Linked DNA regions of Struthio camelus. Each later gene encodes a partner of the first gene's protein in a complex. Links are inferred from orthologs where the notes say so. Each region holds a gene or a part of one and is shown in the gene's direction. Other genes may lie near its edges.

What was found. Proteins that work in one complex are often made in the same cells at the same time.
Region 2: the proteins of SEC31A (region 1) and PDCD6 are in contact, whole or in part, in a crystal structure (PDB 3WXA), measured with the Homo sapiens proteins. The link is inferred for Struthio camelus from reciprocal best matches to the Homo sapiens genes SEC31A and PDCD6. Residues at the interface, in NP_001070675.1 of Homo sapiens: Asn837, Pro838, Pro839, Pro840, Pro841, Gly842, Phe843, Ile844, Met845; in NP_037364.1 of Homo sapiens: Val31, Val35, Leu48, Ala51, Leu52, Ser53, Asn54, Gly55, Thr56, Trp57, Phe85, Trp89, Ile92, Gln96, Phe99, Phe148.

What each region holds. Positions count from the first base shown.
Region 1 is NC_090945.1:10,275,280-10,283,196, reverse strand, and holds the start of SEC31A (protein transport protein Sec31A), read left to right. Parts: upstream 1-4,907; 5' UTR 4,908-4,966; intron 4,967-5,567; exon of another isoform or gene 5,568-5,674; intron 5,675-6,722; 5' UTR 6,723-6,726; coding exon 6,727-6,805; intron 6,806-7,383; coding exon 7,384-7,507; intron 7,508-7,917. Other genes in the region: DNA transposase THAP9, read right to left, coding at 1-1,456, 2,296-2,446, 3,256-3,553, 3,890-4,468. UniProt on the Homo sapiens protein: Component of the coat protein complex II (COPII) which promotes the formation of transport vesicles from the endoplasmic reticulum (ER).
Region 2 is NC_090943.1:75,423,928-75,431,835, forward strand, and holds the start of PDCD6 (programmed cell death protein 6), read left to right. Parts: upstream 1-4,906; 5' UTR 4,907-5,328; coding exon 5,329-5,414; intron 5,415-7,908. Other genes in the region: EXOC3 (exocyst complex component 3), read left to right, coding at 1,651-1,778, 2,278-2,449. UniProt on the Homo sapiens protein: Calcium sensor that plays a key role in processes such as endoplasmic reticulum (ER)-Golgi vesicular transport, endosomal biogenesis or membrane repair.

The sequences.
Region 1 (7,917 bases):
AACAAATCCAGTGGTGCAGGTGATGCTCTGTGCACGTAGCGACAGGTCCGTCAGTGCATTGCTCAGGGCCGAGTCCCGCACAAGAAGGCCTGCGCTGAAGGGGTACTCCGTTGCCAGAGTCGTCCTACGAGCTGGATCGTACTGAGAACGAATGCTGCCAAGGGTCAGCTCTGTCTGGCGGAAGATGGATATATCCAAGGTGCTCATGTCACCAAAGCCACTGCTGTGTTGTAATCCTGGTGCCAAGCTGCAGCTGGCCAGCAGTTTGCAGTAAGCAGCCTGGAACATTGCGCAGGTGGGGTTGCCGCGGCCAACGCAAGCCTGCCTGAGAGCCCGGAGAAACAACTCCAGCTGGTCGAGGCTGAAGGTGTACGTCAGGAGGCAGTGCACAGGCGCGCCTTCTGGAAGCACGTAGTTGGTATGGAGCCACTTGAGGCTTTCAGCATTGAGCAAGATACTCAGAAATCCCAGTTTGCGCTTGCTCTTTATAACGTACCTCCCCACAGAGTCTGTTAAGGTGACAAAGAAACTCTTGGCCTCACTGAAGAGGTGGCTTACTTTGCTGTAATTTCCAGCTAGCAAAGGCCCCTTCAGTCCCCTTCCGTAGGGACTTCTGCCATGGAATACATCGCGCAGACGGCTCATCAAACGCACAAACTTGATGGTACCGCCGCAGTTCTGGAATGCGGCCAGGCCCAGCTTCTGGAGGTGCTCCAGCGCATCAGCAACACCCTCACTGAACAGCTGGGTAGCGAGGTTCACTCTTAAATAGCAATGCTCCTTGCTTTCACGACAGCCTGACCTGGGTCTGCACAGCTCTAATACCCTTTTCTCTTGCAAAGCTGCCAGCTCCACCATGTGCTGCCACTGTGCTGTTTCACTGAGCCACTGTAGCTTCTGGAAGCACTGCAAAGTGTTCCTTATCAGCTGGAGCGCGTGGCAAGTGTCAAAGAAGTACGTGATACAGTGAGCAGAGCTGGGCGGATGCTGAAAAGTGCACTGGATCCTTTCAGGGTCAATACGGATCCCCAGAGCTCGGGCTGTGTCAGCCCCGTGCGCGGTGGCACCTGATGTCACAGACAGCACCGCGATGCCGATGTTGTTCAGCTTATTGATGGTCTGACGAAGCAGCTGAGCAAGCAGGTGGCCGCTCAAGCTGTTCACAAAGAAGTAGCCAAGAGGTGCCCTCCAGGGACTCGCGATGCCTACTGCCATGAGGATTACCGCTTCAGAGGCCAGCGGGGCCTCATCAGCATCCAGGACGCCTGCCCCCAAGTCAACAAAGCCCACCAGATGCTGGGTCTGGGGGTCCCACTCCTGCTGCTTCTGAAGAGCCATGTCTTGTACCATCAACGCGCAGTAACGGTAGGCCTGGTCACCCTCTTCCACCCTTTCCTGAAGGCGGATAAAGATGTCACTGCTGAAGCCCGGAGCGGCATTGTTACTAGACAGCCAACTGGAAAAGAAGAAAGGACACAATTAGGAGTAGAGATTCAGAGAAAAATGAAGTTTTATAATCTCTTCCCTTTTGCAACGCATGGTCCCAAAGTTTCCACTCTGCATAGTCCTGCTGGTTTTGACTTCCCCGCACACTGATGCTTGCCCCTGTCTGTATCGGTCACGTGCCTTCTCTCTCTTGCTCACGCGTGCACGCCCTCCCGTATTTTCTGACTGGTAAGCGGAGTGCTGCAGGTGAAATGAACTGCTCCTTTAACACCGCCTGCTGCTTCTCCTATGAAAAGGACCTTACTAGTTTTTGCTCTTTCTTCCAGTATATGGCCCATTCCCCCAGGGCTAGCTCCCTCTCAGAAGAGTATTCTACTCCACATCACAGGTCCAGGAGTATCATTTGTAGAGTACTCCTTACAGAACGTGGCAAGAAGTGGTGAAACACCTCCTCCTTTTATTATTCCTTCTTCATTCCAGTGAACGCCAAAAAAAAAAAAAAAAGATTAGATACTGTGGTATCTGAGGCCCCAATATCTAGCTTTTCCTCACTCAGGTATTCATTTGGGAGTATTTAGGAAGCTCTGTACTTCCTCAAAGTTGTTAGCGTAATAGCTGTGTTAACTCTGACGGCATAAAGTGTGTGCCTGGAGTCATACCTCTCTCTGAGATACCTGCTATTAATATTTCTTAACGCTTGTTTCCCACTCTGCTTGGTGTTTGGTGTTAGCAAAATGAAGCACGGAGAAACTACTATAGGTGAATGTATTTTCATGATAGATCTCTCTTCCATCAATTTCTAAATAAGTACCTAGAAACCCAGTCAGCATGAAAAAAATATAAACTTGCTTTGTCAGGCTGGAAGGATGAGGCAGGGGAAAAATCTTCCGTAGATAATCATAGGCCTTGTTATGGTAGAGATGGAGAACACAAGCAAATTGTTTCATTTCCAGGGAGTATTCTGTCATCTGCCTCCAGTTCTGTGACTCACAGGGTAAATCTGTTTAAAGAAGTACAAGGTCAGCCTTAGTGAAGCAAGTAAACAGTCGCTACCTTCACAGAAGGAGGGTTAACACAGAAATATTGCAGCATAGGGTATACAAGGCCACGCTACTGCCTCGGGAACAACTGAGTTACGAAGGAAGTTTGACGTGACGCTAGGAAGGCGCAAGTGCTGTTACAGTGCCTCTCATTTTCCTCAGGATAGGTGGTGGCCAGGCACTCTGTCCCCTACCGCAGCTCTGCTGCTTACGCCGCTTGACTCTGTCTGTAACGAGTCTTTCCTTTTTCCTCTCCAATGTCATTTCAAAGCTTTGAGTAGATACTGCATCCTACTTGTGGCTACTGCTTAAAATTTCCATCAAAAGAGAGAAACCGCTAAGTTATGGACTACTGTACAATTTAACTGGCTTCTTCATGTCGCATGACAGACGCAAACTGAGCTCACTTTCTCTGACAGCAGGAAGGACAAGACTGTCCTAATTAAACATCCCCCATCTTTGATTTGTCTGTCAGCTAGATGTTGGTATGAGGTGATTGAACAGTCTTGTTACAGAGCTCACCTGAGCGCTGCACTCACTTCGCAGAGAGGTGTGAGGGTACTTTATCCTTCACTGGATTGGATGTTGTGTTCCGGAACTAAAAATTTCCGCAGTTTTTACTTTGTAATTAAAGCTTATAGTATTGACCCTAGCACTCTAAGAGCCGGGGCTTACCCATGCTATACCGAGCTAAATAAAAACATAAAACTGGAATGAGGCAGTATTTACCCTGAAGCGCTCTTGCCTAGTCAAACGCCCCAAGCAGTACCTGAAAAGTGGGCCTGCAGCAAATTCACGGTTTCCTCAGACAACTGTTTTTTCTCTGCCAGCTCCCTGATGATGCTGGAAATTTTTCTTGGACGGTACGTGGGACACGTCCTTGCTGCAAGAAGCTGCTGCTTCTCAGGCAATGGTTGTACCTCCTTCCTTTCTGCCTGCTGTCCAGCTGCTGCTACAGCATCCTTTAAGCTGTAGTTGTGATCCTCGGCGATGACCTCGTCATCAGAATGGTTGAGGAGAGGCTGCTTCAGTGCCCTTGGGGATGGCCTGTTCCTGGGTCGCGGGTCCTTTAGTGGAGAAGGGACTGAGGGTTAGTGAAGTGATCAAAACGCTGCCAGGGCTTCAGTTCCGTGGAAGCCCAGAGGTGGGGGCTGAATCGGGAAGGGCAGGCGCTTCCCCATGCAGTCCGGTTTGGCAGTTTCACTCACGGGCAAATCAGCAGTGCTTTAGGGGCCGCTTGGCCTTAGCGCTCGGACCGAAAGCACCGCAGAGCGGCAGGCCTTGTCGCTCACTGCCGGGAAGACACACGCACACACCCCTACACACGGGTGAACAGCCCCCTGCCCCCCCCCCCCGGCGTCCGCCTCCCCCCAGAAGGGGAAGAAGGAGAGGGGGGCCGTTACCGGGCGGGGGAAACGCGAGGGCACGGCGCCCCGCCGCAGCTTCCGCCGCAGCCCGTAGCGCTCGAAGTCGGCCTCGGCGAAGTGCCGCGAGCAGAGGATGGCCCCGGGCCCGGGGCTCCAGGCTTGGCGGCTCCGCGGGTCCACGCGGTTCACGGCGCGGATCCACTCGCGGCGCTGCGCGGCGTCCACCGGGAACCTGCGGCACACGGAGAGAGAGGCAGGCGGGGGGGGGGGCGGTGTTGGGTCCCGGCCGCCGGGCCCGCCTCCAGCCCCTCTCCGGCTCGCGCCGGCACTCACTGGTGGAAGGAAATGCCGCGCTCCCGGCTGCGCCCGTTGTCGCGGGCGGTGCAGCCCAGCGCCGAGCAGCTCCGCGTCATGGCGGCTCCCCCGCAGCCCCTCTAACGGCCGCCGCGTAACGGTCGTCCGGCACGCGCAGCGCCGACCAACCGACACCCCTGCCCGGAAACGCGCCTCCTCATTGGCTGCCAGCGCTCCCTCTCCCGCCCCCCCAGCCTGCCCTTTTCCATTGGTTGGCGAGTCGCTTCCCCCGCCCCTTCCCGCTGGGCGCTGCTTTTTCATTGGGCGTAGCGGCTGAAAGGGAAGGCAGGGAGGTATTTCCGTCGCCAGGCTGTGGCCCCGCCCCAGCTGACATGCGCGCAGGGGAAGTGGCGAAGAGTGGCGGAAAGGGGAGGAAGACCACGCCAATCAGCGGCGGGGGCGGAGGAGGAAGCTGCCAATGGGGAGCGGCGCGCCTCGGAGCCAATGGGAGCGCAGCTCTCCGTCCCTATATATATAGCGGGCCGAACACCCACCCTCTTCTTTTTCCCGCCGCTGAAAGAGCAGCGGGTGCGGCGGGATGTGCGGGGCAGCGCGGCCGCCGCCGTGCGCACGGCCTCGCAGCAGCGAGCGGGCCGCGCGCGCCATGGGGCCGTGGGGGGGCCCGCCCTGGGCTCGGCCCCCGCCCGGCGCCTGCTGGGGTTTTTCTGAGGCGGCCGCACGCTGAGGGGCCGCGGGAGCTGGCGGCGGCGGGACGCGGCTGAGGCGCGGGCGAGGCCCCAAGCGCGGCCGCCGAGCGAGGTGGGTTGGGGGCAGCGTGTGCCAGCGCTCCCAGCGACAGGCTGAGCCGCCTCTTCCTCGGGCCGCGAGGAGTTGCGCCAGCGGCGGCGGGCTGCTGCAGAAGAGACGTGGTAGCTGCTGCTCTCGCTCTCCGCGTTTTCGCACGGCGCTGCGGAAGGCGAGGGAGTCCTGGCCTATCCGTGGTCGCTCACGGGGCTGCCCCAATAGAGCCTTTCCGCCTGGTGTCGTTTTAAGTAGCCGGAGCCATGTGAAAGCGCTTCGCCGAAGGCAGGGGTGCTGACGAGCTCCCTTTCCCTGGCGAGGCGGCGCCCCGTTCTCCAAAATACTCTTCTCCTTTCTCCACCTCCTTTCCCCCCCCCCCCAAAAAAAAAAAAAACCTCCTTCCCACGTCGCCCCCACGGGGGCGGCTGAAAGCGCGGCGGGGTCGCGCAGCCCGTCCGATGATGAAGTCTCTGGCTGCTGTTCACATCCTGACGCGCTGTGACGAGTTGCGCTTGAGCTTGCTGAGGACGGGCTGGCAGGAGAGGGGGAGAAAGGGGGCGGGGCGGGGCGGGTAGCGCCGCCGCGCCGGCGGCGGTTGGTGACCGTTAGTGACGGTTGGGCGGCCGCCCCGCCCTGGCGAGGCCGGAAGGCGGCGAGGCGGGGGCGGGGCCGGAAGGCGGCGGCGAGGCGGCGCCGCGGCTGCCACGTTGGAGCGGGCCGCGGCGGGTGAGCGGCGGCGGCGGCGTTGGGGCCGGGGGAGCGGGGAGGGCGGCGGCGGCGGCGGCGGCGGGGCTGCTTCGCGTGATAGTGTCCCTTCCTTTCCCCCCCCCCCCCAAAATATTCCTCCAGGGCCTCCGCCGCGGGCGCGGCGACGGCCTGAGCAAGGCAGGAAATGCCGGCCTGGCTCGCAAAGAAGCCGCTGACCCCTGCGGCAGGCGAGGGTTGCACAATGGGTTTGGAGCGAGCCGTCACCTAGTTGCCCCCTCCCCTTGCTTGCTTGCTCCCCCCTGCCTGCCCGCTCGCCGAGAGGGCGAGGTGCGGAGGGCCCCGCGGGAGCACCGGGCAGCCTTGGGGAAAGGCTTTGCTCTGTCGTGGTGCTGGCGCGCAGCTGCCAGCAGGGCATGGGTGCCGCTTTTTCGATGCCTGTAAGAGAAGGAAGGCGGTTCACGCGGATCTTGCGCCCCGTTTTAAGAGTGGGGAGTGAACGGTTGAAGAGCTGCGTGGGGGAAAAACAATGGGCGCAGGGCTCAAGGATGTGCCCTGAAGGATGCCAGACGCAAAGACAGTCCTGACAGGCTCTGGCCATCCCTGGGCTGTGCTGCAGGTAATCCCACAGAGATGGCAGCCAGCCCGGGAGCGTGCTCTGGTCCTGTCTGGCTGCTCCTCTCAGGTGCCATGGGATGTCCTTGGAAATACGTATCGAGAACAATTCACATGCCATTTCACTGACCGTGGCCCTGAAATAGAGTTAAATTATATGGTGAAGACCATCTTTAAAATCCAGTCCTGCTGGTTGCTGAGAGCGCTTTGCGGTGGCTTTGACAGGCAGGGTTTCATTTCTGATGATAGTTTTTCTGAGGCTTGGTGTTTGCAGTTGGAATGGGACTAGTACTTAAAGGCAGGAGCTGCTGTAAGATCCCTAGTGAAAGCGTGGGACCACTTTCCTTGAAGTGGTTATCTGTGGCTGCTTCTGTTGAGTTCTCATGCAACCTCTAGCTCCCCGTTAACACGTTCTTCCCATGTTGTCTTTAAGAGTCACGTTTTTCTTTTCTAGCAAAATGAAGCTGAAGGAGATAGATCGTACTGCCATGCAGGCATGGAGTCCTGCCCTGCAGCACCCCATTTATCTGGCCACCGGTAAGTTGTTGGGGTGTGGGCCAGCAGACCTTAGCCTACCTGTGGTGGCTGCCATGAGGTGGTTATAAATGAAAGTTATAGTAGTTAGTTCACGCCCTGCAGGTTGAAGCTGCAGTGGAGAATACCATGTAGTACCTCAGAGGCAGTTTTCCAGCCTGTGATACCCATTTATTCCTGGGTTTGATCTTTGTGGTGTGACAACATACTTGCGGCTCTGTAGCCAACAGCACCGGCTCCCTTCTTCCAGGTTAAGGCTACAGCATCCTGCCGTTCGCTGTCCCTTAGTGCTCATCTGGCACGTCCCTTGTTTCTCTGTTGTTAACTGAATTTCTCATACGTAATCAGGGAGAGACAAGCGTTCTCCTGAAGCTTCCCCTTTTGCGCAGGTCAAGAAACGCGCAAAGAGAATTGTGGGGAGGAGAATTATGTAGCGGTACTTCTAAAACAAAACAGAAATCAGACCCCATCTCGGGGTCCCTTTTGTGAGGATGATGCTCTTACGCCCTGCATGGTGCCGCTTTTGCGGTCGCTCCTCTCTGTAGCGTGTCTTTCTCATCCCTGAGCGTATTTCTTCATAGGTACATCTGCTCAGCAGCTGGATGCGACGTTCAGTACCAATGCTTCTCTAGAAATATTTGAGCTGGACTTAGCGGACCCTTCCCTGGATATGAAGTCCTGTGCCACCTTCTCCTCCTCTCACAGGTACGCAGTGGGGGTTGTGAGCGAAAAGTAATGGCTGTGGGACTCTTGTATGGGCTGTGTGCTGAAAAGCCAGCGTGTGAGGTTCGACTGCAGTTTTTCAGGAGAGGAGCAGAGCTTCAGTGCTGAGGGATGGTGTGTGAGTGCCATTGCTGTTCAGAGGGGACAGCGTGGTGTGACAGTGAAGGCAGAGAGCTGGGTCTGCAAGGAGTTGTGACCAGCTTGTATTTTGCTGCGAACCTCACGGTCTGTTGGTTGTATTGGCTCTCTGGAGGCTGCTCCAGTGGCCACTGTTCATTGCCGGTGAGCTGTAACAACCTAGCAGATGGAAGCACGGGATGCTTCGCTGTGGGTAGAGAAGGACCTGAAAATTTCTTGTTGAGCTTAGATCCCGTCCATGACTCTTTCCTGCT
Region 2 (7,908 bases), on another chromosome or scaffold:
CATATATTTCCTTATTTAACTACATAAGGAGTAGGAAAGGCAGTAGGGCCAACAGATGATCAAAAAAAGGAAAAGAGTGCAGAGAAAGATAAAGCCAGAAAAACTGGGGTGGGGGTTGCAGTGTTCATGTCTGCTCGCTGTAGAAGATGTTGGGGCAGGTCCTATATCAGAATCCTTCATTATGCAGGATTCTTTGCAAGAAATGTTTCAGATTAAGGCATTAATAGATAGAAGAGATTATGGAAAAAATAGACAAAATAGTATCAGATTCCAGGATCGGGTGACGTGGAACTCAAAGTGCTAAAATCATTCAGAGAATATCCAGAATATCTATTTAATAGATACTACAGTTTAGCTGATCTGTTGTTGTAAGCTGCCTTGGTAAATGTAACTGATTGAAAGATGGAAAATGAAGGGTAGGAGGATCAGTTTCATATTGGAGGGAGATCACCAATGAAGTCCGAAAAGGATTTTTTGATGGATCCTGTGATGCTCATAAGTTATCTAAGTTGCACGGTTCCTGAGCTGGCAGGGTACAAGAGTCAGTTGAAAAACTTAAGAAGGTCTAATGATTAAGCAGTGAAACAGCAGGTGAACATGCATCAACTTACAGTTCTAACTTCACAAAAATGATGAGGTCTGAGTTGACTGTTACTGCTCAAGAATAAGATCATAGAATTCAAAAATGTCATCTTAATGCCTCACACCACTCAGAAAAGCAGACAATGTCTGGCAAGGAATAAAAACCAAAATAGTAAACATTCTGCCCCTATAGAAATCTATAATTCATATGCATCTTGTGTGCAGTAAGCTTGTGTGAGGAACAGATGAATACATTACAATCCTTCAGTCAGAAAAAGGTGACTTGTGAGAGAAGGAAATGTGGCAGAGGTCTCTTACAGCGTGAGCATCACAGAGACAGTGAATAACAATTCCATTCTTTTATCAGAGAGATGGTGACCAAATAGGCATCAAATTAATTTAGCCAGTGGCAATTCCAAAAAAATAAAAGACTGTGGTTCTTTCTACAGCATGTGGCTGTGGGAGTTTGAACTACAGAAGTTTATGGATGCCAAAAATTTACAAGAGTTCAAAAAGCAGCTGGATAAATTCAGAGAAGAAAAGTCTATTGCAGCCTATAAACTGGAAATGATTACACCTCTAGCTCATGGATTTCCTAGGCTGCAAATTGGTGGAGGCTTGGAGAGTATTTTGAAGAAGTATTCCTACATTTCTACCCTGTTTTTATATTCATTTTCTAGGCATCTGACTTGTTGCAGCTCTTCTAACAGAGTAAACAAAAGCTATACTATGTGTGTACCTAAGAAAAGAGAATATATTGGTTGGGTCTGTTCAGCTAAAGTTATAAGTGTCAGTTAAATAAATAATGTCTTTACTGGAGATCCAACTTAGTTGAAATATATTTGTAGGTCAAACAGTAAATAATTAGAAACAGAAAAGGGAAGAGACTTAATGGCGAGAACTCAAAACTATTCTGTTTTCTTAATGTCAGAAAATTAAGCAGTTTTGGGAATTAAACAGCATTGTAAGACAAAACACTAATTAAAGGATTGTTTATAGATTTGGGCAGAGGTTGCTTTTGTTGTGTTTTTGGGCTTTTTTTTTTTTGTTAAACTTTTCATCTTGCAGGGATCTGGAGAAGACACTGAAGGACTCTGTGGCATCATTGAAGCCATTGCAGAAGTGATCAAACTAACTGATCCTTCACTACTCTATCTGGAAGTTTCAACTTTAGTCAGTAAATACCCCGATATCAGGTAATTCTCTTCTCAAAGTTAAATACATATATGTGCAGTGTTGTGTGTGTGCCGTATGTCCTCTCTCTACCTCACAGATATTGTTTTAAAATTAGCCTGAAACTGCAAAGTAGCTATATGTAAATATTTTCATATTATTCATATTTTAGAATGTAACCATTTTCTTATGATAAGTGATACTAATGGAGACTGTATATGTTCTGAAATAGGAAGTGCATGTACTTAAGTACTCTGTGGCACAGCAAAGGAATAATGAACATACTCTGTGTTCTGGGAGTATAAAATATATCTTGAGTCCTAAGAGCAGTCACAATGGTGCTTTATATTGAGCTGGAAAAGCTAGTACTGAGTGACCAGAGATCTGATTAAGTACTTGAGGTATTAGAAGTACATAATGAAACTGAGTTGAAGGATTGTGAACTAAAAGCAATATTTCTGACAAAATATTACTTCTATGAAGTTTCTTACTAATGGCAGTTTTATCATTTTCCTTTGGCAGGGATGACCATATTGCAGCTTTGCTCACAGTGAGAGGAGATGCCAGCAGAGATATGAAGCAGACTATCATTGAGACCTTGGACCAAGGTCCAAGCCAACCAAATCCGAACTACATGCCAATTTTTAAAGAAATTACAGTTCCCACTCTAACTGTGCCAAAACTTCTTAAGTAATTGACAATGCTGTGTTTTTGTGTCATTACTGGTCTGGGATCAACAGGTTTGAAATATTTGATGGCAAAATTGGCAATGCTTTTTCAAGTAAAGTTCAATACTGATACTTGCTAGGTATGTTTCTAAGGACTTTTTCATGTGGGGAGACATAGTCACATTTCTGAAAGAAAATAGTGTTAACGATCAGTCAAATTACAGTTTGAAGAATGAAGATTCTGATGGCCAGAATGCTTTTTACTGACCCATCTTACAGCCATATTTGCCATTAGCAAATATATTTTTCTCATGGAATGTTTCTGCACTGTACAGTACAGTGCTGTATGAAGATATTTATACTGAAAACAGCAGAGCTGAATTAGTGCTTAATGCAGACTAAATAGACCTGGATATGCTAATATACATTGCTTACAATACCTGAGCTGACTCTATTAAGGACTATCTTTATATGACACTGCACTGGGCATATATTAACATCTTCAATTCACTTTCACATTGTACTTTGTGTATGTATTTACTCTGATGTAAAATAGTTTATTTCAGAAAACGTAATTATAAAATCAGTTTCCTGACTAAGGGGTTGAACAAAATTGCTAGCATGCAATTTGATTATAGGGTGAATAAACAAATAATTAAAAAATACTTGAGGTACAAAAATAATTTTTCATTGATTCACTAAAAATGGCACATAAAGCATCACCAATTCAATAAAATGTTAAAACTATTGCTACCTACAGCAGTGTATTCTTTAAATCCTAATAGAATTACAACAGATCTCAATCATCTTCTCCCCCCCCCCCCGGTTGTTTAAAGCGTAGAGCAGCTTTGTGCTCTATGTGTGAATAGTGCTTGGATTTCATGTTTTTCTCAAAACTCAAGATACATTCTTATATCCCACAGTAATTTCAGATTAATGCTTAAAGTTAATTTCCAGTGTTATCGGTCTAATTATAGCATATGACTGGAAAACTGCTGAATTTAAATGTTTTCAAGGAAGGACATAATGAAGGCATTGCCTTTGAATACCTGAACACAGTTGTCAGACAAGTACAAGGAAGGCGCAAGCCTACTTTGCACTAACTGATGGTCTGGAGTTCACATTAACTTGTGCTTAGCCTGTAAACACACAGACCTTGTGCTATTTGACCCCTCTCACTGTCTCCTTCTTACCCCAAAAGAGATGCGAGGTCATCAGTTTGGATAGAGGGTAGAACAAAGATTGTTAGTTTTTTTTGCTTGTTGTTTGTTTTCTTCCATTGACTGTATGAATGTGTCCCAGAGGACCAGGATGGTTCAGTAGCCTGTCAGGTCTGGGTGCTGTGAATCCTAATACTGTACCTAGGAATTGCAGGTACTGGGAGGGGAATGGATTTTTGGATGGCCAGTCTGTGGCCTAGTGAGTTAAGAACTACTGAGGTAATATTGACTAATTTTGTTTGCATTTCAGTGTCAATCCCATGACTGTTGGGATGTACCTGAAATTCTTGTCCTGTGTGACTTTGATCTTCAGTATATCCAAGGGAATCAATTAACCTGTTCTTTTTTCCTCCATAAACTGTATGCTGCTTCTGCAGAAGTAACCCTGTACATCTTGAATGTTAGAATTGCACTATTTTTTCCCAAAGACAAACCAGTTTGCTTGGGTAGAGACCCCTTAGTTTCTTCTTGTCTAGAATAGAAAGATCAAAGGGACTGCTAATGCTCTCAGACACTTGGTCTCATGATGCATATTGTGTAAAGGAATGCTATTAAATTGTGAACGTAGACCCCCTGCATGCTGCCAGTGCCTGCTCAATGAAAGCTGAAGCAACGGGTGCCTTCTCTGTGCAACAGTTCCAACATGCTCTGCAGAGTACTGCTACCCTGACCTCCATTCATATCTTCATTAAGCGTTACGCTCTTGATAAAGGTTTCTGAAGGAGCAATGCTGCATTTGGCAAGGCTGCCCATCAGTATCTGCTTAATTAGTGTCTCTGAGGTCCCTCTGTCATAGGCTCTCAGCAGAGTACTCCATGGAATCACCTGTAATGTGAAAGTCCATTGAGACAGTCATTCAAAGGACAGAGTTCATTAACTTGTTCCATCTTACAGATCTGTTGTTCTCACCGATTTCTTACACACTTGAAACCATTCCAAAACAGGAATGCTGACATGTTTAATTAACATACAGCACCTTCAAAAAGCCAGACTCCTGGGGAACCTTGGAGCATGGCTCACTTCAGTCTCCCGCTCCTGGGGCATCCGCCGTTCAGGGGAGAGGCTGCAGGCAGCGGCTGTGCAGGGAGCAGGGCAGGAGGCGGGCAGGCGCTCCCCGCACAGAGATGGTTCTCCCGGGGAAGAGCAGGGAGCTTTTGTGCAGGCCTGGTCCAAACCCGTCAGAATTACTGAGAGTGACCCGTGTTCGGGACCATCTTCCGTATTTTCACCCCAAATAGCAGTGTCCCCGCCCCCAGGCGCTGTCACATGAGGGAACCACCCGCGAAGCGGGAGCCGTGCCCCGGCCCAGCGGGAAGGCCGGGGCTGGTCCCGCAGCTCCCAGAATTCACGGGCAGAGAGGCCCGCCCCGCTCGGCTGGGCTCGGCCCGCCCGGCCGCTACCGTCCGCGGTAGCCCCGCCCCTGCCCAGGCGCGGCGCGGGCGGAGCTCCCCGGGCGACCGCGGCGACAGCTGTCCCCTGGGAAAGGGAAGCGCCGCCACAGCTTCTCCTGGGACTCCCCCGGGCGCCGCCCTCTGCTTCCCGCCATGGCTCTGCGCCTGCCCCGCTCGTGACATCACGGACCGCACTGCGTAAGCGAGCGCGTCCCGGAACTGCAGGGAGGAGAGTCCGAGCTTCCCGTCCGCGGAGGGTTCCGCGGTGCCAGGGCGCTGTGGCGAGGTCGCGGCATGGCGGCTGGGTATCATTGTAGGCCCAGCGGCAGCGGCGGGGCTGGGCTGGCCGATCCGAGCTTCCTGTGGAACGTCTTCCAGAGGTGAGGCCGGGCGAAGCGACCTGCGCCCCTGCGCCGCACCCCTCTCGGCCGCCGCCCCTGCGCGTGCGGCGCGTACCCGTCGCCCCGCGCTGAGGTGGCCGCCGCGACCTCGTCTGCTGCGGGCAGCGCCGCCCGCGGGCGGTACGGTGCTGGCCGGCAGCTCCAGCCCTGCCTGTGCGGAGGGGAGCGGCGGGGCCGGCCCGAGTTTGTGGGCGCCGGCCCGGACGGCGAGGGGCGCAGGCCGGTGTGGCGGAGCGAGGGCAGCGCGGCCCGCAGGGGACGGGGCTGCGGCTCCTAAGGTGGCGCTGGGGGGCTGGGAAGTGCCCGGAACCTCCCGCGGGCAGCCGCGGGAAGCTGTAACTGCCCCGAGGTTTCCAGCGGGAGGAGCTGCAGTTCGGGTGCTTCGGGGCCTGTCGGGGCGCGTAAGCATCGCGGTTATGTCCCTGTAGCAGTAACCTGAGGGAATGTACCGAGACGCTCGAGAAAAGGTATAGCTCAATTTTAGAGTAAGGAAAGGTGACATAATAGATGCAAGAAGGTAACCTGAGAAACGTTGAAGTTATTTGTGAACTGAAAAACTAGAAAGGATTGTAACCTCTGGAGGGTAAATGTAAAAACATGAGAAGGCTCGTAAAAAGGAATGTGATGAATGCTTATAGCAAAAAGCTTAAAAACTGATGGTGAATCCAATATGTCATGAGCAGAAACTGCCAGAGAGTCAAGGAACGGTATTAAAAGAAGTACTGATGTTGAGACCATAGCAGTAGTGAAGGTAACTGGGTTCTTCACGTCCGTGTCCTGTGGGAGAAACTGGGGATGTTTCGACATTGCATGTGTTTTTGTGGGAGATGTGTTGGAGGATCTATCTTGACTAATGATTGCAAGAAGAGGTTAAGGAGTAGACAAAATGAACAATAATTTGCTAAAACTGGGTAGTATTTACTTAGTAATTCCTGAGTGACTCAGGAATGTGATGGCTTACCTGTCAATCCTTGCATAAAACCACTTTATCTGAGGGCTTGGAGGTGGCAAGCATGAATGCCGCTTCTTTTTTAAAGGATCCAGAGAGAAACAGAGGAGCAATCTGACTGTTGTACCAGGCAAACCAGTAAGAACTATTGTAAACAATGTAGCTAGTGGGAAGAGTTGCATGGCTTTTGTTGAAAAAATTCCTATTTGTCAAACTACTATATAATTCTTTGAATATATTGCATAAGGATTCGGTATAGATATGGATAGAACTAGTGCAGTTGACATCTGCATAGTTTCCCAAGAAGTTTTCAACAGTGTTGAGTATCACAGGCCTTTAAAGAAATATTATTAGCTGTAGAATAAAAGGGAGTGTCCTTTGATGGATAAATAGCTGACTAAAAATAAGAATATATGGTCATCTATCACACTGATGGATGAAGAACTTCTGGAATCTTCACGCAGCTTGTTCATATTCAACAATGAAGGTAAAATAAGTAAAATGGAGGTGAATGATAAGATGAAATTTCTTGGATACACTAAGTCCTCACTCTTACTATAAAAATTACTGTCAAGGCTTGCAGGAGCACCTTATAATATTGATTGACTGATTTTTAAGAAAGATGATGGTCATATAATAGTCAATGAAATCCAGAATAGATATGGGAAGTACTGGAGGAAGAACCACTTAACTTCACATAATTTTATGTATAAAATAAATGTTCTTTAACCTGACTGATGTTCAGGACCAATTTATAGGCCTAGGTAGATTATAACACATTTTCATGAACATGTCAGCTTAACACTCGATAGCAGCTCATAAAAGGTAAAATAAATGTTAGGAATTATTAGGAAAGAAATAAGAAATAAAAACAGGGGAATATCTTTTTGCTACCGTAAAACCTATGCAACGTGAGTATTATTTGCAGTTTAGATCTTTTCCCTGCCTCAGAAATCATGTGGTAGAAAGAGTTTAAAAAGCTTTGAACAAGGCAACAAAGAATAAGTAAAATAGCTTCTACAAAAGGACCAACTATGCATGACTCTGCTTTGGAATGGAAATAACTGAGGAGAAATAAAAAACGGTCAGTGGCATGGGGAATGTGGATTATTGATTCTACTCCAGGAAAAGAAGTAGGAAGCATCAAATTAAGCTGGTAGGGACAGAACTGATTAACTTAGCGTTCCTCATGCCTACCCCTAAGTGAGGTTTGCCATTTTATAGGACCTCTATCTTTTCTCTGCTTAAAAGTCATCCAAAACTAGCCCTAGTCACTAGGCTTTAATTTGTGTTTTCTATGACCTAAAAAGGTATTATGCCCTTCCTCTTCCCCTTAACTGCCTAAATGCGGCAATCTTCCGAAACTAAACGTGAGTTTGTAGGTTTGAGCCCCGCCCCACCCCTCCCAAGTGGAGGGTGGAGACAAACAGGTCTCGAGTGCCCACTCTAACCACTACAGGCCTTGTACACAGAGTGGAAGGAAGCCACCTATCACCTTCAGCTGTCCTCCTAAAGAAGGACCTT